3 linked regions of the Arabidopsis thaliana genome follow. The protein of the gene in region 1 interacts with the protein of each later gene in a pairwise test. Each region holds a gene or a part of one and is shown on either strand. Other genes may lie near its edges.

The links. Proteins that work in one complex are often made in the same cells at the same time.
Region 2: the proteins of PTF1 (region 1) and SRS5 interact in binary tests that used the Arabidopsis thaliana proteins (3 or more experiments, as listed by UniProt).
Region 3: the proteins of PTF1 (region 1) and ERF9 interact in binary tests that used the Arabidopsis thaliana proteins (3 or more experiments, as listed by UniProt).

The regions. Positions count from the first base shown.
Region 1 is NC_003074.8:386,624-395,311, forward strand, and holds PTF1 (plastid transcription factor 1), read left to right. Parts: upstream 1-4,096; 5' UTR 4,097-4,620; intron 4,621-4,873; 5' UTR 4,874-4,898; coding exon 4,899-5,966; 3' UTR 5,967-6,144; downstream 6,145-8,688. Other genes in the region: AT3G02160 (Bromodomain transcription factor), read left to right, coding at 7,992-8,688. UniProt on the Arabidopsis thaliana protein: Plays a pivotal role in the control of morphogenesis of shoot organs by negatively regulating the expression of boundary-specific genes such as CUC genes, probably through the induction of miRNA (e.g. miR164).
Region 2 is NC_003070.9:28,351,022-28,357,689, reverse strand, and holds SRS5 (SHI-related sequence 5), read left to right. Parts: upstream 1-4,140; 5' UTR 4,141-4,510; coding exon 4,511-5,189; intron 5,190-5,549; coding exon 5,550-5,911; 3' UTR 5,912-6,168; downstream 6,169-6,668. UniProt on the Arabidopsis thaliana protein: Transcription activator that binds DNA on 5'-ACTCTAC-3' and promotes auxin homeostasis-regulating gene expression (e.g. YUC genes), as well as genes affecting stamen development, cell expansion and timing of flowering.
Region 3 is NC_003076.8:17,802,485-17,808,041, forward strand, and holds ERF9 (erf domain protein 9), read left to right. Parts: upstream 1-3,912; 5' UTR 3,913-4,257; coding exon 4,258-4,860; 3' UTR 4,861-5,057; downstream 5,058-5,557. Other genes in the region: CBP20 (CAP-binding protein 20), read right to left, coding at 1-18, 354-464, 599-632, 721-859, 944-1,167, 1,374-1,391.

The sequences.
Region 1 (8,688 bases):
CATGTTTTTGAATTATATTACAAGCATAGTTGACGATGTAGTACGGATTTTAAAACTTTACTTTAGTATATTTTCACACAAGTTGGCTTAAAATAGACATAATTTCCAGTTAATATACCAATTTGCATTAGTATAATCAATGAAAATAGATAGTGATTTCTCGTTGACAGACACAAAATATAGGGAATTATTCGGATTATCTTCTTGAAAACATTTTAATATTGATTTATGATTTTTTATAGGAAAAGATAGACGACCACCCACCACGCCACGTGGAAAAGGGCATCAAGTGGCGTAGACGTAGGCTACTTTGTTCATATACAACTCGACACGTGTCTAATAATCAACGTGCTCAACTACGACAGTCCCTTTATTGCCACGTGTATCCAGCCTGACTGGGCCCCCGACACGGCAAACCAAAGAAATACGTTAGACATTTTTTTTATCTAAACATTTCTACGCGCCTTTTCTTGTGGCCTAATTAACTTCAAGTTCTAACAACAATACTAATAAGAGTTCAATATTGGTTATTAAGAATGTGCTAGTTTCTAATCCTTTGTGGTAATTTCATTTCGGTAAATTGTTGTTACATAATTTTTTGAAATTCATGCAGCAGAATAATAGTAATAATAAGGTGGAGAGGAAAGAATGAATGAATGGGAGGATCTCCTAAAGAGACGCAAACAATCAAAGAGGAGATCGAGAAGTGGGACACGCATAGTGGCCAACTTGTACTATTTCTTTCTTTTTTTGTATGTTTGAAGAAATGTTTTGTTTCAAATCTATTTTACCCTAAAAAGGTGATAAGATTAGTGACACGTTTCGCTTCTAGAATACACCACGTACCACTTTATTCATTGCTTCACGACAACATGTAGCCAAGTTGCTGTGTGACATGATCACATTTAAGGATTTAGTCAACCGGGCTTCAGTTTTGTGGTTTACCTATTTTTGCTTCTATAACTAAACTTACAAAAACTTCTCTACAAAAGAGCTACAGAAAGCATCTGAACTTTGATCCATTGGGCTTTTCTTTCATCACAGTTGGCCCATACACATTTCTTTTGTTGGCCCAAGATTGTGATCCAGGATAGTAATACTAAATTAAATTCACATAGCTTTTAAAATTTATAAACAAAGATATGGTTGTAAAAAGTAATGTTTTGCTTACTGCCTATGGGGCCATCTAACACATATGTGTTGGGTTACCATCTCTAGTAGTATCTACCATATGGACTGAGCATAGGGATTGGTGTTTGGGATAGGAACAGTGCATAATAAAGGTGTAGTGTATAAGACAACAGATAGACTGATAGAGTAGTAAATTTTGTATCTCTGATTTTTCTAGTTATTGTAAGTCTTGTTCAAATTTTTACATTTTTCATATTTTAACGTGTCACTTTCCCCAAAGAAAGAAATACCAACAATTGCACTAAACTCCAATTCTATAGATATCGTACGCATGCATTTGCTGCCCAACAGTTTTTATATAGAAATCTTAATAAATTTATTTATGATTCATATTGCAGTTAATTAGTGTTGTGTATTCAACCATGTTATAATTTCTGGAAGTGAAAATTTTGCTGGGCTGTTTCTGCTTTGTTGGGTATTGAAATGATAAGAGTAATTAAAAATGTAACTATTGGGGATAATACAAGAGACGGTTAAATTGAGAGAGAAAAAGTGATAGGAAAATTAGGGGGACCATCGAGTGAATAACTCTCTTTCTCTTCTGTTTTCTTCAGTTTCTCTCTCGAGATGCCCAACCTCTTCACTCTTCATCTAGTACTCTTTAGCGAGTATATATAACAATCACATAATAAATACTTACTCTAAGTCTTAAATTTTATATATAGTTACTTTGTTTACATATAACGGACGTTCCTAGCTGTATAATTCACAATTAATAACTTACACACTAAAAAGTTGAACCTACGAAATTTTCTTAACGTAAATTTTAAAATCATTTGGCTAATTAACTAGTATATCAGATAAACTTACACATTTTCTAATGGAAATTAAATATTCTTAGTAACGCATAGTCATACTTGCGCGTTCTTCTTAATTAGTCTTTCAGAAAAAGTGTCAATATATCTTCTGGAATATTTAATATATAGTCGTATATATGACTATCGAATCTCAGAAATGTGGCTATCAATCTATCTATATGTGTATATATATATAAACGTGTTTGTAATTTTGATAAAGATCTGAAACTCAAGTGGAAGAAACTGAATTGTATACGTCTCGAAATGGCATGCGTACCCACGGTACTGTATATGTGTAGATCATTATTTGAATATCCACGTCAACCGAAATTAATGATTTGGTGTTCTATTTGCAATATTCACGTAAGCTCACGTAATTCATACGTTTTTGTTTGTCTTGCTAACTTTAGCTTCATCTCATTTATATACGCTGATATTGATTGCTATTTATCAAATATGGAGAAATGTGTTTAACTTTTAACATGATTTTTAGGATATTATTGTCGTTGATATATATATCCTTCACATCATTAATTATTATTATGGATGTGAAAATACTATAGAAAAGCTATTAAAACCCCAATCTTTGTTCATGAGACAACAAAATTCTGGAGTCGGTGAAGTAGACATGACTTAATGGATTCTAAGTTTGTCCGATTTCTCCTTTGTTCCCATGTGATGTCTTAAGATAAAATGATCATCATCACACTTTCTTTTTCTCTTACTCCTTTGTTTCGATTCATAAGGATATATTGCTTTCGTCCACTTCTAATATTCTTATATCACTTTATTTAAAAGACAATGTACAATTTAATAAAATTAATAATTTGATGAATGTTATTGATTCATATAGATATTTAAAATGTATTTGAAAAAGGGGTACAAATCTTATTGTGAATGGATAATTAATTAAGTTGCATACTTCAAAAGACAATCATGTGGATACTTTTTTATTATTAGTTTTATGGATTTGAAATTCTGAAAAATACTCGTCTCAATTATTCTTAGAACATTAAGTTTGACCTAAAAGAATGGTTTGACTAGTAATATGGGAATTATATAGGTGCCCCTTTTCACAGATGATGCATCCGAATAACAAAATCATATTACTTCTTATATCCTACCGTCCATATTAATTATATTAGATTACACATTTAAATATAATATATACATCATTAGATCTAATATAGAAAATCTTATTAAAAAAAAATCCTTATATAAAGAAAAATCACAAGGTTAACACAACCTTATCGATAAATAAAGATGTTAAAACTGATTTTTATATATGAAGCAAAAGTAAATTAGGGCTTAGTGATGTCTAGTTAAAGTACTTGTGTTTTGAAAAGGTAATGAGTCATGACTCAACAAGGTACACAAGGCGTGCATCGGGTAAACCACAACCTTTTGTAATTGTCGATATAACAGCATGCCAATATTCACATGGACCATATACTGTGTGTATATTATATATTACCATATATGTGAGTTACATTTCATATTGTAGAACCAAGGACTAAATTTAAACATAATGTACCATATTCTTTTAATTAGATTATTCATAAGATATCCAATTTAAAAGATGAGTTAAAATGATCAAGAAAACGCTACGCTGAACTCTAAAGTCTAATCTTTATCATTTATAGAAGTGTTATGAAACAAATCAATACCTGGTTAATAATTGATGTAGTTTCATTTTTTTTTTTAAGAAAAGAAAGTGATGAAGTGTTTAACTAGTCATAATATTATAGATCCAACTTCATTTCAATATATCACGAGTGCATTGGCGGCTGCAAAACATATTTTTGAAAAGAGCAAAAAAAAAAATCAAGGATCATAAATAATATAGGTCTTGGCTTTTTAATTCTACCAATAGATTTACAGTGGACAATTAAAGAAAAAAAATCACGAAATTATCATGGTTTGGCTAATTGAGATAAAATTCATACGTTTTCCATCAATAATCGTACATCATCCATTTCACAACAATAATTATTCCTAAAATGTCGTTATTTTCATAACATTGGTTAGATGTTCTAATAAGCTACTATTATATATAACTTCACGTCAATGTATGTTTGATTTTGGCATCTAAAATTTCTGTAAAATTTAGATATTCGCGTATACTTTTTTTGGGATTTTCTTCTTAGCCGTATTATAACTGCAACTCATATCACATACGTGGATGATAAAATATTCGAGTTTAATATCTCCTCCGTATGTAGATTTGATATGATCCATAATATTAAAGATGAAAATGAACTTGACTGATTATTCAGCGCATTCATTTTATTTTCCCTTCGAGGATAGCGAAATCCGCCACGTGGCATTACTACATCCATTGCTTTTTTTAACATAAATACTTAAGTCGCAATTCTTCTAAATTTTGGAGGCTTATGATATTGGTAGGGTTCTCATATTCACTTCCAAAAGCATCTTCTTCTTTCTAATTTTCTTTTTCTTTTTATCTTATTTTCATTTTATTCATATACTTTTTGAAAAGAAAAGTCGAATCACATACTTTCTTCTCTCTATTTCTCATTCTCTCTTCTTCATCATATTACTCATTTTATAGAACAGCAAAACCCTAGATTTCCTGTTCAAGCTCAAGACCGTACAAAACTTTGGAACTCATGTAAGAAACAGTACACGTTTTTTTTTTTGTTTCTTCTTCAGTCCGGATTATAAGAATTTTGTCGATTGAAGAAAACAGGCTAAATTAAACCCTAATTTTCTCTCTTAGACAATTCCTACTTTCTCTCCATTTTTCTGGATTCGCTCTCGTTTTAAAAGGATTCAGAAATTAACTATATTATTTGAATTCTTTTGCCATAATTCCCTTATGTTTTCTGCTAATGGATATACATTTGGTCTTCTTTCTGTATTAGATATAAAGATCTCGAGAATAGCATTATGAATATCGTCTCTTGGAAAGATGCAAACGACGAAGTTGCAGGCGGCGCTACGACAAGACGTGAAAGAGAAGTAAAAGAGGATCAAGAAGAAACCGAAGTCAGAGCCACCAGTGGCAAAACCGTAATTAAAAAGCAGCCTACATCGATCTCTTCTTCTTCTTCTTCGTGGATGAAATCCAAGGATCCGAGGATTGTTAGGGTTTCACGCGCCTTTGGAGGCAAAGACCGTCACAGCAAAGTGTGTACGTTACGTGGACTACGTGACAGACGCGTGAGATTATCAGTCCCAACGGCTATTCAGCTCTACGATCTTCAAGAACGGCTCGGTGTTGACCAGCCTAGCAAAGCCGTTGACTGGTTGCTTGATGCAGCTAAAGAGGAGATCGACGAGCTACCTCCGTTACCTATCTCGCCGGAAAATTTCAGCATCTTCAACCATCATCAGTCCTTCTTGAATCTTGGTCAACGGCCCGGTCAAGATCCGACCCAACTCGGGTTTAAAATCAATGGATGTGTACAAAAGTCTACTACTACTAGCCGCGAAGAAAACGATAGAGAGAAAGGAGAAAACGATGTCGTTTACACAAACAATCATCATGTTGGGTCTTATGGAACTTATCACAACCTGGAACATCATCATCATCATCACCAACATTTGAGTTTACAGGCAGATTATCATAGTCATCAACTACATAGTCTTGTCCCATTTCCATCACAAATTTTGGTATGTCCAATGACGACATCACCAACAACTACAACTATACAATCTTTGTTTCCATCATCATCGTCAGCTGGTTCAGGGACTATGGAGACATTAGATCCGAGGCAAATGGTAAGCCATTTTCAAATGCCATTAATGGGTAATTCTTCATCTTCGTCTTCCCAAAACATTTCGACATTATATTCGTTGTTACATGGTAGTAGTAGCAACAATGGTGGTAGAGACATTGATAATCGGATGTCGTCGGTCCAATTCAACCGAACTAATAGCACTACAACGGCTAACATGTCGAGGCATCTAGGCTCGGAGCGTTGTACAAGTAGAGGAAGTGATCACCATATGTGAAGTTAGATTATTGAAACGATATAATTGTTGTTTGATGTGTTCAGAAATAAGGGGACACAAAACAAAATATAAGGTAATTACTATTGTACTATGTTTTGCTGATATATTTTTTAATAGACAAATTAATGTTATAAATTGATTTATTAATTTACTATTAGCATGTGTTTTGAAACTTTCTCATGTATATATATATATATAGCTTCCTCATAGGATCTGAATACACACAAACATACATGAAATGTATTATAAGTATCTGATAGTAATGTATGCACTTTGAGATGAGAAGCTAAATTACATTCAGATTCATCAAATATTTAGCAAAAAAAAAAATCAGATTCATCAATAGGTAACGTAATAATATGAAATTGAATCTAATAATTTATACTGATCTGTTATCGAGGTATTATGTTTCTATTGGATGCACGGTACAATGCAACTATAGAACTCAATGTGACCGTAGCTAGATAGATTATTAGATGATGATATAAGTGGAGATTCCACAAAACCCAAACAAACCTAACATTACTATGTCATGTGAAGCAGATATATATTGAACCCATTATCAAATAGAAATTCATCATGAATGGTTATTATACATACAAGTGCCCATTTTAAAATCTTATTAGCATAGTAAGTAAACTATCAAGATGCAAAGAAGCCATTCCCATATAAAAATTAAGATGTGTAGCTAGGCTAAATGGTCTCGATAATAATGTGTAGTAGTGAATAGTGATCACATGCATGTTCACCAATGAAAGAGTTAGGCTAAAATGCAAATTACATATGTACATGCTATGTTAATATTTATAGTAGGAGGTAAAAAAGGAAGAATTAATAAATGAAGAAAGAAGAAAAATTAGTTAAATTATTATAGGGGTGATAGAGACAAAAGCTTCTAAATAATGTTGTGTGTACGATCTTTGATTGATTTGAGTAAAAGGCTACCGATCCAATGCTCTGTGACTCTGTCGTATATCATCATACTTTCTGCAAAAAGCTTCCATGTCGATCTCTAGCTATCATACTACATGCATATATATATATATTAATTCGAATTATCTGGTTTTACGTTCCAACCTCACAAAAATTGATAGCAAACTAAACTACGGAGGACAATAAATGACGAAATTTGAATTTATTAAGTCGCACTAAAAATTAAAAACATACTGTATCAAACAAGATTTGGTTTTGAACTTTTGATATGTTTTGTAACGTCTTTTTATTGTTGGGCCAACCACTAAGACCCATTAGTTTGAAATTCTGTTTGATAACCTGAAAGCCCATCAACGCAAATAATTGTATCCTTTCTAATTATTACATCATCGCTGTAATAATCTTAATCTTACTATATATGAAAATAAATAATTCTTTTTATAATAAAGATTAATTTAATTTCCTTAAAAATGAAAAAAATAGTAATTGCCTTTAATTTTCTTTAAAAAAACTCAGTAGTTCCTCTCTATAAAGTTAACGAAAATCTCAAACTTGGAAAATCTCCCACCCTTCTTTTTCTTCGCCTTCTCAAATTGGATCGAAAGTTTTAAACTTGGAGCTGGGTTTTTGATTCGCATGCGAAATTTCCTCAATTTCGTTTGTTGGTGCTTTCAATTTCACTTCTTCGCTAGCATTTTCTCTCACTGTGTTCGCCGCCGATAGCTGCCCAAGTTGTGTCTGTTCTTCTTCCCCGGTGAATTTTCAGTGGATAAAGCTTTTTCTCCGGTAAAGCATTTTACTTCTCTTAATTGGATTCGTTAACTCTCGCTCTCGAGTTTGCTTTGTTGCTTTCTACTGCTTTAAATTGAACCCGAAACGTCTATTCTTAGTGACCGGAACAAAATTGATCTTTCATTAAGTTCAATTCTTCGTTTTTTAGTCACTTTTGGGTTTAGTATAAAATTGATTCTGATGTTTTATTCTCTCTTATTTGTTCTTAGGTGCCTAAGAGAAGACTTTCGAGGGAAAGATATTGGCTTTTGTTTTGTGTTCTGAGAGGGATACGTGTTGTGTTGGTTTTTCACTCAAGAGATGGTTCTACATGTTATGTTGGGTGAAGTTGTAACAAAGTTTTTGAATATGAACAATGGAGTTGGGGAAGGTGGAAGTCAGCAAAGAGAATTACATGGTAAGAGAAAGCTTTTCCGAGGCAATGATTTCGCTTTTTCCATAGCGAGAATGGCAGTGGCTCAGATATGCGAGAGTGTTGAGGTTAACCCGTATCAGGAATCACAGACACGTGAGGGTGTGAGGTTTAGTTCTTTTCAAGAATCTGCTCTTGATACACTAACTGATGTTGCGGTTCAGTATATTCAGAGCATTGGGAAGACTGCTCATTTGTATGCTAACTTAGCCGGTAGAGTAGATGGTAATTCTCTGGACATTCTTCAAGCATTAGAGGATTTGGGATCTGGTTTGGGTTTTGCTGGTGTTTCTGATACTGACCATTGTCTTGCTGATTCCGGTGTAGTCAAGGATATCATTCGTTATACTGGAGAAGCAGAGGAGATACCGTTTGTTTACTCTCTTCCTCGTTTCCCATTTAGTAAAGAGAAAAAACCTGCTCCTAGTTTCTCTGAGGTTGGAGCAGAACCTCCAGATGAACACATTCCTGTTTGGCTTCCTGCATTTCCCGAAACCGAATTGTGTGATCGATCAGAGGAAACTAATGCAGCCACAATCGAAGGAGAAATTCCTAGTAAAGAAAATGGTTCATCTTTACCGAGTA
Region 2 (6,668 bases), on another chromosome or scaffold:
TGGTCAAACAACTTTAAACGAACATTTTATCAATCACTTGTATTTAGGTTTAAGTATAAATCCTCAAATTTTGATCACAGTGACTTTGCATCGGTTGATTTTTATTACCCTCACACTAAAAATGAATTGTTACAAATTTTGTCTGCTTGAATCGTTTTCGACAAATTTTATTGGTATTGAATCCAAACATAAGTTAAAAAGCCTGGAACTTAAAAGAATTTTAAACACAGCGTATATATAATAGATATAATCATTGAGAAGATTGTCGGGAAAATACTGTTAGTGAGGAGAATGATTGACTACCATATAAAAAGATACTAGTACTATATAGGAGAGAGAGAGAGAGGAGATGCAGCGAGAAGAAAGGTGAGCACAAGGCTCGAGAGTGAAAGACAACAACTAAATAATAATTGGACTATTGGAGCTAATCCTTATTCTTGATTTTTCCCCTACGATGACCTTTGCTCCTCACTCTCTGTCTGACTTGTGGGAGGTGACAAAATCTAGTAATAGAAAGAATCATAATTATAACAACCGAGAACACCTCGGCTAAAAAAGGAAAAAAAAATAGATCACCTCTGATAACCATGCCAATGAACACCAATGCCCACAATCTGATATTAAATAGTATTTCGTCATTGTGATCTATGGCTGAATAATGCTGGGCATTGCTTCGGCATTAGCTAAACCTTTATTGGCTTTACTGTGAATTGAAGCTAACTCTCGGAAAAATATACACATTTTTATAAATTAAAAAAGAAACATTAGATGTATCCTTTAAAATGGAATGATAGTGTTTGTGGTGTTTTTAGAAAAAAAATAAGAGTGTTGGATGACAATGTTAATCATTTGAACATGTTGGATAACTTCATTGCCTACGCATGACTACAATAGCATTTTTTGTTGTTTGTAAATTGAGTTAAAATAACATAAATTAAGATAATAAGATATAATTGGGAAACATGCATCTATATCAAACGTGAATTAGCTATGCCTGTCTCCTTAGAGAAATATCAACCGCCAAAAAGTAAATCAGTGGTAGCTATTAACCCCGTCAAAATGTCAAAAAATGAAAAGGAAAAAAAACTTAATAATGTTAGCCAAAGGAAAACTAAAGTAAAGAACAAAGACAAAAGGGACATTAGCCAACTAGTTTAATCATGAAGATCCCGATTCATCAAAGTTAGGAGTGTTAAGTAATTACATTTACAAATAAAGACAAAATAGTGATTTAGTCAACAAGAAATTCTAAAATACAAAAGACTCATGCCTCGGGCCCTTAAATAAGATCAAGTCCATTTTTTGGGTGGGTAACTAATACGTACGATCAACCTTTCTATAGATACACGCATATATAATTGTTGTTTACTAAAGCTTAACAAATTTAAGTCGTATTATGTTAAGAAAATTCTCCTTTTTTCTAGACACAGATGTTTGGGATGGGATTGGGCTTTCTTTTCTCTCTCTCTCTTTTTTTTTTTTTTCTTTTTTTCCTTTTTTTGATTGAACAGATTTTTGTTTTTGTTTTTATTTTTTGTCCTACAAACGCATTTCAATAATGATTTTTCTTTGACATCTAATATTGTCTGAAAACTATAAATTGTTTTCTTTTTGATATTTTTACGTATTGTTTCCGATGCATATCGTTTTTGATAACCATATTTTATGGAGCGAACCCAAATTAATGGTTGATGATATAGGTGATTGGCAAAGTGAACACAAAAACATGTAAAGACTTTGAAACAAATTGAATACTTTAAATTTAAATTCACATTTGAGTGATTTGAGAGAGTTAAAAATCTCTAAGAACTATTCCAAGAAAACTCACATTGCCTTCATTTTGTACGTTTGTTTCTCTAAATCCAATAAGTATGCCTTTTTTATAAAGCGACAAAAATACTTCACAGCCAAGATTTTAAAGTACTTGCTTGGTTCATAAAGAAGCATTTGCTCACCAAAAACAATTAAATACGCAAATCCTTACAACATGCATAACTCATTTTTTTTTTTTTTTTGTCAATCGCACATCTCATCTTCAAGGATTAGCTAGTAATATAGGTAAGAGACTTTATCTTGAGAAATTGGTTGTGTATTAATTGGCTCGTCGATACCGAAGATTTGATCAAATCTAGCTATGAGAATTGGAGAAGTAAAATCTTACTCTCGTGACCTGCTTATTATGAATATGCATGAGAAGTCGTCAACGATTGGCAATACAAGGTGGAATAGACTCGTAAATTTTGAAATAAATATAATTCACAAGTTAAATTTGAGATCATGCGATGGCAAAAATTAGGATATGAAAATTGGTAATCAGTTTTGAAGTAATGCGAGTGTTATTAAGAGTTTAAGGTATGTGGGTTGGTCGTCGATTACAAATATGAAATATCTTTAAATATTTTTCAAACTTTGAATAGACCATATACTTATATACTGTACATGCACAACATTTAGGATAAAGAAAAGGCGAACCATCAGAGATATAAACTTTAAAATTAAATACCAAATGCGCCTAATTATGATTATAAAATGCAAATTGCGCCGCTAATTCCCGCGATTCCACGTGATCAAAGAAACTAGAGTGGGTCTGCCTGCTTCGGCTCTAATGAGGGTACAAGGTATGACTGAATAAGTAAATCCTTTAGTGATTTAAATTTTAAATTCGCAGATTTATGTACGACCAATTACGTGATAGTATAAAATATTTAATTAGTTGGTATAATTAATAGTAGCTAGTTTAAGATAAACCACTAACGGTTTTTATGTACTCTTAACTATTCTCATGTTTATGCAATTATGTGTGTGTACATATTTATAGTTTTAATTTGTAAAACGAGCAAAATAAGCTAAATAACCCTCATATCCCGTTTAGTTATATATTTTTCCAAAATTTGAAACTATATAGTACTGTATTAACGTGAAAGCTAAGTTTTCTACTTCGATTGGAATAAGCTAAAAACCTTTAAAAAAAAAAAAAAAAAAAAAAAAAAAAAAAAGCTAAAAACCTGAATACAGAAATAATACATTATATTCATGTATTAGTTTGGGTAAAGATGGAAGACGATCACATCCCTTCGTCGGCTAATAATAATGACTCGTGACCTAGAACTAGACTAGGGATCGCTGTCCAGCAAAAATCCCTTAAAACAAACCACATAGTTTTTTTTTTGTTTTTTTTTCACACACCACATAGTTTTCTTATAGTTCATATTCAAAAAGTGTTTAAGTTTCTACGATCGCCCTCTTCATGTCGATTCAATGTTAATACCACGTATTTCTGATTAGACGAATAAATAACAAAATTATCAAAAAAGGAAAAATTAACGCACGAAGGCGTCGTTGAAAAAGTTATGTCATTGAAAGTCTAATCGCCGTGATTAAGCGGTAAACCTCACGATGAGACCGTCCGTGACGATAAAATGTCAAAGGAATGTGACGTTAGACTATCCTTTTCATTTTTTCTCAGATTTCATTTTTTTTTTCCTTTTTCTTTATTTCAGACTTTTATCTTTGCCTTTTTTGTTTTCTCAAACTTCCCATATATAATTTCATCACAAAATAGATAAACCGAAGTAAAAAGATAAACGGTGGGGAGGGTTTTGCGGGGGAGGGACGAGTGGAGAAAAACTCCCTGTTCTAACACGTGGCACTCTATTCACCATTGATAAAAATTAACACTATGAGCTTAAAAAGCGAGCTATTTTCTATTTTCTAGTTTAGTTTTAAAAGAAACAACATTTTCGCTAAGAAATTTCTTTTAATTAACACATCTTAAATTTTTAAAATCTACTAAAACGAAAACGAGTCATTATTAAATTCGATACGTTGGTTCGGCGTAATATATTTTATACTCCTTCATGCATATTGTTTTGAATCCTAAAACCATCGATTAGATATATAATTTGCATCTGTGGACAAAAAAATGACTTCCTACATAGTAAAGAAAACAACGCGTCATTTAATTTTTATCATCTTACATGTATTAATTAGATTGTAATAAGGGATTATGAAAATACCTATGAAAAATGTAGAGAATAAGCATATATACATATTAATGGAATGGAATGATTACTCTAACAAAATTACTTAAAAAATGTCACCTATCTATTTATCCATATTCCTTTTTTTTTCTTTTTTTTTCAACAATAGTTTGAGTGATATTTATGTGATGGGGATTCACTCAAACTGGAAGATAACTGTAGTGAAGTGCCCAAAGCAAAAGATCTTCATGGGACTCTCTATGTCTTAAAAACTTTTTTTCTCTCTCTCTCTCTCTTAATCCACCGAGTAAATCCAGCAAACTTCCACTTTCAGAGATCAAACTTGAGTTATCTTAAGTGATGAAGAAAGACTAATTCCATGGCGGCGTTTGCAGTTTCTTAAGCTTCCTCATCATCTACCGTCAATCTTTATAGCAAAGAAAAGGAAATCAAATCAAGATTTACCCTTTTCTTTGATTTCTCTTTGTGGTGTGTTGGGTGTGTGATGTTGATTACCACTGGGGAAAGAAATGGCAGGGTTCTTCTATCTAGGAGGGAGAGACAACAACAGCAACAACAACAAGCAAGATCATCATCAAGTAGACAAGGATCATCATCATCAAGACAAGAGCAATTATCTTTATCTTTACAAAGACGAGATCTATAATAACAACAAGGGTTTCGAGATTTGGCCTCCGCAATACTTCCAACAACAAGAACATCAACAACAACAACAACAGCAACAACATGCCTCAGCTCCTGCAAACTTCTACTCATTTGGAATGGTTCCTAGCGGAAGCAGCAGCAACAACAACAATAACCGTAGCCGGAGTTTATACTTCAACGTAGTCTCCGATCATGAGCCGGGAGGGTTCACGGTGACGAGACAAGGAGGTATGAATTGTCAAGATTGTGGAAATCAAGCTAAGAAAGATTGTCCTCATATGAGATGTAGAACTTGTTGTAAAAGCCGAGGCTTTCATTGTCAAACTCACGTTAAGAGCACTTGGGTTCCTGCTGCTAAACGTCGTGAGCGTTTAGCCCAACTCGCTTCCTTGCAGCACCACTCAGCCTCCAGCCGTGAAACGCAAAACGCCAAACGCCTTCGAGAAGCTAGTGGTGGTGATAATAATGATGATAAAGACCATAGTGGTGGTGGTGGATCGGCTCTTGCTAATACCCGTGTGGTGAATGCTAATTCTAATTCAGGTAAAATTCTTGATGATATTGAATTAGCTTTCAAGATTGATTAAATTTTCATGAAAAAGTGTCAAAGTTTTAATTATGAATGTTTGTGGAGAAGTACAACATCATTTGCGTGTGAATGAGGATGTCCGCCGGATATTGCTGCTTTATTTATACAAGTTACTGTTCCTTAGTAAACCTGACGACATAAAAGGATCTAACCAAGATCGATTTCATGTAAAAACAATGCAATAAAGATTCGTTTTTGTAGATATGAAATGGGAGCTACGCTTTATAATCAACAACATGTTATACTAAAAGGGGCTAAAAACAAATCTCATGTTTATATTTTGGTGATCTTATAATCATTAATAAAAAAATTAGGGTTGGAGGTGAGTCAACACTTACCACCGGAGGTTAACTCACCGGCGATATTCCGGTGCGTTAGAGTGAGCTCAATAGAAGAGGATGAAGATGATCAAGCATATGCTTACCAAACGGCTGTGAACATTGGAGGCCATATCTTCAAAGGCATTCTCTATGACCAAGGACCAGAACATCAAGATAATCATCACCTTAACCTACTTGCTTCCACTGCAACCACCACCAATGTGGAGGAGACCGCCACTAAGACTGTCACCGGTAACAATAATAATGGATTAATGCTTGATCCTTCTTCGCTTTACCCAGCTCAACTCAACTCCTTCATCGCGGGTACGCCATTCTTCACACCTCCGAGGTCTTGATCAGATTCTGATATCAGTTATTGATTATTGTTAATCTTTAAACGTTATAATAATAAGAGGATTTCTTTTGTTTTTGTTTTTGTTTTCGTTTATCTATTTTTGAAACTTCGTGCAATTTGGAAAAAACACCCTTACCTAGGTTGTTACTTAGTGGTGATTAACATGCATATTGTACGTACTTTTAAGAAAAGAAGATAGTGTTCATGTTTCAAAGATTAATCTTTTGCTTTATTTTTGTTCATTAGGATCGATCTCTGTGTTGCAATTTAAATGTGGTTTAGTTATAGTCTTATGATATTAATTAATATATAATATAACCCTCTTTTTATTGATTTACGACATATATAATTATATATAGTACTTTTCAAGGTCAAATCAAAAATACTTATTTTAGAAAAGAAAGAATAATAAAAATCTTTTGGTTTGATATTGAAATAGCTTTCTGGTTGGTGTTGAGCTCCAAGCTACCTTTTTCCCCGTTTATCCGTTTGCTTGCCGGATCTAAACATGACTTAACTAGGTTTCGTGTTCCACTGATCAAAGATTTGAAAAAAAACATATACTTAGTAAACTTCAAGCAATTTTTATATTACCCAATTGAATTTCTCCAGAGTGAAAGATGTTAAAATTAGTTCTCAATTGTAATATATATATACCCAACAACTGAGAAAAGATGGAAAAAGTTTAGTTAAAAACTGGTCCTGGGCGGCTTTAAATTATATTTATGCACTTAAATTTAGCTTGTTTATATCTTTCT
Region 3 (5,557 bases), on another chromosome or scaffold:
CACGCCTTCCATTTCCATCTGTGATTAACATATGCAAAAAGCATTTAGGAATCTAGTGTTTTGCAGGCTCTATTTACGGATTCTCACATAATTTGACTTGAATAAGATACTTAACACTAGGACCATATCTTGTTTCACATTTTCACTATCTATTCGAAAGGGAACTGGGAAAACAATAAGCAGATGCTTTGCAAGATAAAGAGTCTTATTCTGAGCACTACAATTCTAAGTAAAGCAACTTAAGACTCGCATTCATGGTACTTTTAGTTCACCATTTGTCCACAGTATAGTGCGAAATCATGAAACCAGGAATAAGATCAAGTAAATTTGGTAGAAAGTTGAAAAAAACATACAATTCGTTGGCGCAGCTTGAGGATAAGCTCCCAATGAGCCAGTACCGTAATCCACGAGCTGCCTTTGTGCTTCGAGTTCCTTCTGAACTAATTTCCCATAACCACCTCTAGGTAATCAATGAGTTAAGGAAAAAACACATGGATTGGCGGGAAATTCATAACCGAGAAATCAATCTTTCCTACCACAAAACAGGTATACTAAACAAGAACAACAGAGTGCATAACTATGCGGACTAAAAGGATATCAGGATCGTAATCTGTACGGTATTCATCACGAACCTGTATGAAATTAGAAAACCATGATGACCTTTTAATTGTAAAGAAACGGTCAGGGAATTACAGAGAGGATGATGCATCTGATGAATACCTGGCCACCGCTTCTACCACGGCCCCATTGTCTTCCTTCTTGGAATCCCCAATCAAAATCCACACGAATAGGCCGGTCATCGAGAATAGTCCCACTTATATACTTGACTGCATCTTCAGTATCCTCTCTAGAGTAGAACCTGATAAAAACAAGACACAAAACCAAAACTCAGCAACCACCATAATGAAACTTACATATAAAACTGTTGAAGATGAAAGCTTACAGGACGAAACAAAAGCCACAAGGTGTTTTAGTGTTCTTATCCAAACCCATGATGATCTTTTTGATTTCTCCAGCTCTAGAGAAAAGCTCGTAAAGCTGTTCTTCAGTAGTGTAAAAAGACACATTGCCAATGTAAACCGTTGTAGATGCTCTTAGCGCTTCATCAAACTCCTCTTGTGTTCCTGAAAATCTTCTATCACGATAAGCTGATAGCTTTGCTTGCTCCTGACAATCAAAAACCCCAAACATGAAATCGTGAGACCAAACCCTAGACAACAACTTCAAAAATCAATTAGAATCGCTTCAGACCCATCAGATTCCAGACAACCCGGATACTAAATTCACTAAAAACATTAACGAATCTCGATTTTCTATGCTAGAAAAAGCAAAACCCAGAAATGGTTTCCGATAAAAATCTAAACTTTATGTACCTTGAACAAAGAAGCCATCGCTTCACGGTGAGAAGAAGTGAATCTGCGATGATGAGAGAGGAGGATAGCTTAAATTAGGTCTATGCGGGGTGAAAGAAGAAGAAGATGAGCGAGAAATCGAGAAGGAGAGACACTTACACTCGTCTTCTTCAAAAAGGGAACCCTAATTTCTAAAGCAGAAGCAGAACTGATAGAAGAAGGCAAGGACACTCCGGCGACTCTCGAGTATCCGGTTTCATGGCCCACCTTACGAAACCTTACAAAGTTACAATTAATTCACAAATATTATTGTTGGTATTAATTTAATATTAAAACAAATAAAAAACCCAAATTTTTTGCATCTAAAATGTTCAATCAAATAACAATTCCGGTTTGGTTTCGGTTCAATTATTTCGGTTTCGCTTTATTTGTTTAAACCATAAAACCAATTTGTAATTCAATTTAGTTAGGTCTCGACATAATAATCGAACCCTACGAACCAACCCAAACCCGACCGAAAACCCTGATCCAAATCCAAAAATTTCAAATATTCAACGGGTCCTAAACTTCAAAACCCGAAAAACTCTAACCCAAACCCGATCTGAACAAATATCCAAACATACCTCAAATATTTGATATATTATTTATATTCATACTTAAATACAGAAAATATTTGGATATTTGGATATTTTAGTTATTTTGTGTATTTTAGGTTACTTTGGATATATTAAAGTAAAACTATTCGTGTTGTTTTGAGAGTTTTTGAAATTTTCAAGTAATTTGATAAATTTACATACAAAATTTTGATATTTTAATATTTAAATAAACCTGAACTCGAACGGTTTAAAATTTTAAAATACCCGAACGGGTCTTAAACTTCTAAATCTGAAATACACAAACTCGAAATATTCGATCCGAATACTGAACGCCCTTTAGTTTTAATTTGGTTTAAATGATATTCCGGTTTGGTTTGTTGTGGTTGTTGGTTTTAATTTCACAGTTCAGCATTAGCAAACCTTAAATTTTATATTTTTAAACATCCTTTATTTCTAATTTCTAGATTTTTGCCTATGAAGATATCTTCAAAGTAATGTTTTAAGAAAATACCTCTTTAAGGACAAGAAAATCATATAAGGAACTTTGCTGAGGAGACATAGAAATAGTTATTTCTCGTTGTTGTAAGCGGTGGTTTAGGTGACTCATTTTCGAAGTTAAAGCTCTCGTTAAATCTGTGTTGAAGCTTCATAATCTACTATGGTGTTCCCTCCAGATCACTTTTTATTACTCCAATACTCATTTTTGAGAGATTCACTGAAGATACTCTAACATACATACGTGTATCTGTAACGTAACGGGATTCAAATACCATTTTTTCTCTTTTTTTGTGTTATGTTGTAGGATCAAAAAAATTGTGACTTTTGTGTGGATTAACATTTGACAATAACGTTAGACGTATCCATTATTCATGTGTTAAAGTAAAATACTTATTCAATAAAAGTTAATATAATTCTAAATTTGTTTTATTTATCGAGTTAAATGAGTTAACTATAACATATATTACATATATGAAATCCTCTACAGCTGTTACACAACAATGTTCATCAATATCCAATGCTGCTATTCTTCTGAAATCTGGACATCAATCGCAAAGAATGTGTACAAAGATAGATTTTCCACAAAATGGTCTGCTGTGGTGAATTACATATCTGATTCTCAGCCTGATCGCATCCAAAGTTTCTTATCCAGGTACACATTCCAAGTCTCTATTCATTCCATTTGGAGGGAGAGAAATTCTCGTCGTCACGGAGAGAAGTCACGTTCAGCTTCAAACCTCATCCGACAGATAGACAAGACTATTAGAAACCAGCTATCGACAATCAAAAAGAAAGGGGATCTTCGACTCGAGAAGGGGCTGCAAGTATGGTTTGACATGCGTCCATAGCATCCTCTAAGAAAGAAGACTCTGTTTTTGCTCTCTCAATTCTATTTACTCTGTTTTTGATCTAGCTCTATTTCTCTTATTATCAAAATATCAAAAAAGCTGATGTAAAAAGTATATTTTTTCTTTTAAATATAATTTGACATTTTATTCAAAAAAAAAAAAAAACAATGTTCATCAATAAAGTTGATTGTTGTTGATTTCTTAAAACAGGAAATCAACGAAATCTCCCAAAGTAAATAAAATTGTGTATCAACCTGTATGCCATGTATCTAAATAACAAATCAAAATCTTTTAGCAATAGATTCAAAAAAAAAGAAAAAACTTTTTGCAATATGATATGTCATATAATGATAATTAAGTTGATACAAATTGGATTCTTAAAATAAACTGGATTCTTAAGCTGCTAACCATTTATTAAAAAAAGATATTGACACATTTACCTACTCACATATTATCAAACCATATATCTAAATCACCTACTACATATTTCATTCGAAACATTGTACATAAATATATCTCTATACAAAATTTAAATGACAACATTGTCAACATAGAAGTATAGAACCGTGGCTATTAGCTATTCATATTGGGCCGACAAAAAAAAAAAAAAAAGGCTATTCATATTGGTGGGTACTAAAATAAGGCTTGGAAATTCATATTAATGTAAAACTCATTTAATCGTTAGAGAGCGTGGTAGTCATGTAGATTAATGAAGGAGCGTGAGATCAAGCAATCAAATTACGCAAAGTCACGCCGCAGTAACGGGACGTTAAGGCAAAAAGCCGTCACAAAAACATTAAAACCTCTCACATTGTCTGTTTTTTGGGCGGCGCTTTTCAGTCAAACCCTCGTTGACCGTCTCTTTCTCTTTCTCTAAACCAAAAACCTTTTCCTTTATAAATTAAACCAAAAACAACGTCACTTCTCTATCTAAACGAGAATATATCTCTTCTTTTATAAGCAATGGCTCCAAGACAGGCGAACGGTAGAAGCATTGCCGTGAGTGAAGGCGGCGGAGGGAAGACGATGACGATGACGACGATGCGGAAGGAAGTGCACTTTAGAGGTGTGAGGAAGCGTCCATGGGGTAGATACGCGGCGGAGATCCGTGACCCGGGAAAGAAAACCCGGGTTTGGCTCGGGACATTCGACACGGCGGAGGAAGCTGCAAGAGCTTACGACACCGCCGCTAGAGAGTTTCGTGGCTCCAAAGCAAAGACTAATTTCCCTCTTCCCGGAGAGTCTACTACGGTTAACGACGGTGGCGAGAACGATTCTTACGTCAACCGTACGACGGTGACGACGGCGCGTGAGATGACGCGTCAGAGATTTCCGTTTGCATGTCACCGGGAGCGTAAAGTCGTCGGTGGTTATGCTTCTGCTGGTTTTTTCTTCGATCCGTCAAGAGCTGCTTCGTTAAGAGCAGAGCTTTCTCGGGTTTGTCCGGTTCGGTTTGATCCGGTTAATATCGAGTTGAGTATTGGTATTCGAGAAACCGTAAAAGTTGAACCGAGAAGAGAACTAAACCTGGATCTTAACCTAGCTCCACCGGTGGTGGACGTTTAGATTTTTTTCTTCTTTTCATAATTTGTATTTTACATTGCCGGAAAATAATTAATGTTTTCTTTAGTAGATGAGAAAAAGAAAAATCTCCTATGTTTTTGGCTAAGTAAGAGGAATTTTTTTTCAGAAATCTCCTATGGTTCCCTAATTACGTGGATGTAATTAATTACTAATCAAATATCTCCTTTTGATATTTTTTTTCTACTTTTGATGTTTTTTCTTAAATGTCTTAAAATGACATGATGGTTGGTTGATGTATCAAATAGGTAGTAGATATCACTCCATTAAATGGATGTGGAATATGAAACCAAGAAACATCGAACATTTAGATGGTCTGTCAACATCAAACAATTTAGTATAGGAGAGTACCCAAAAATAAAAATAAAAAAATCGGATGATCATGACACAAAAAAGTAGTTATCGTTTTCATTAGTTTTCTCATTATATTGAATTATGGTTTCATGGTTTGGTTTATAAATTAGACATGTAAAATTCTTTTTTCATCTATGAATTGTGTAGGAAGAAAATTAAATTCAAAAGTAAAAAAACTGTAGTGAGTTATGAGTTTTTTTTTAAAATGTATTTGAAAAGTAGAGTGGTAGCATCATGAGTCCAATCTTCGAGTTTCGTGTAGATGGGGATGATGGCATGAGTGTCAGGTGGGAGGCACGTGTGCTTTAGCCGTCCATAATCTGTTTTG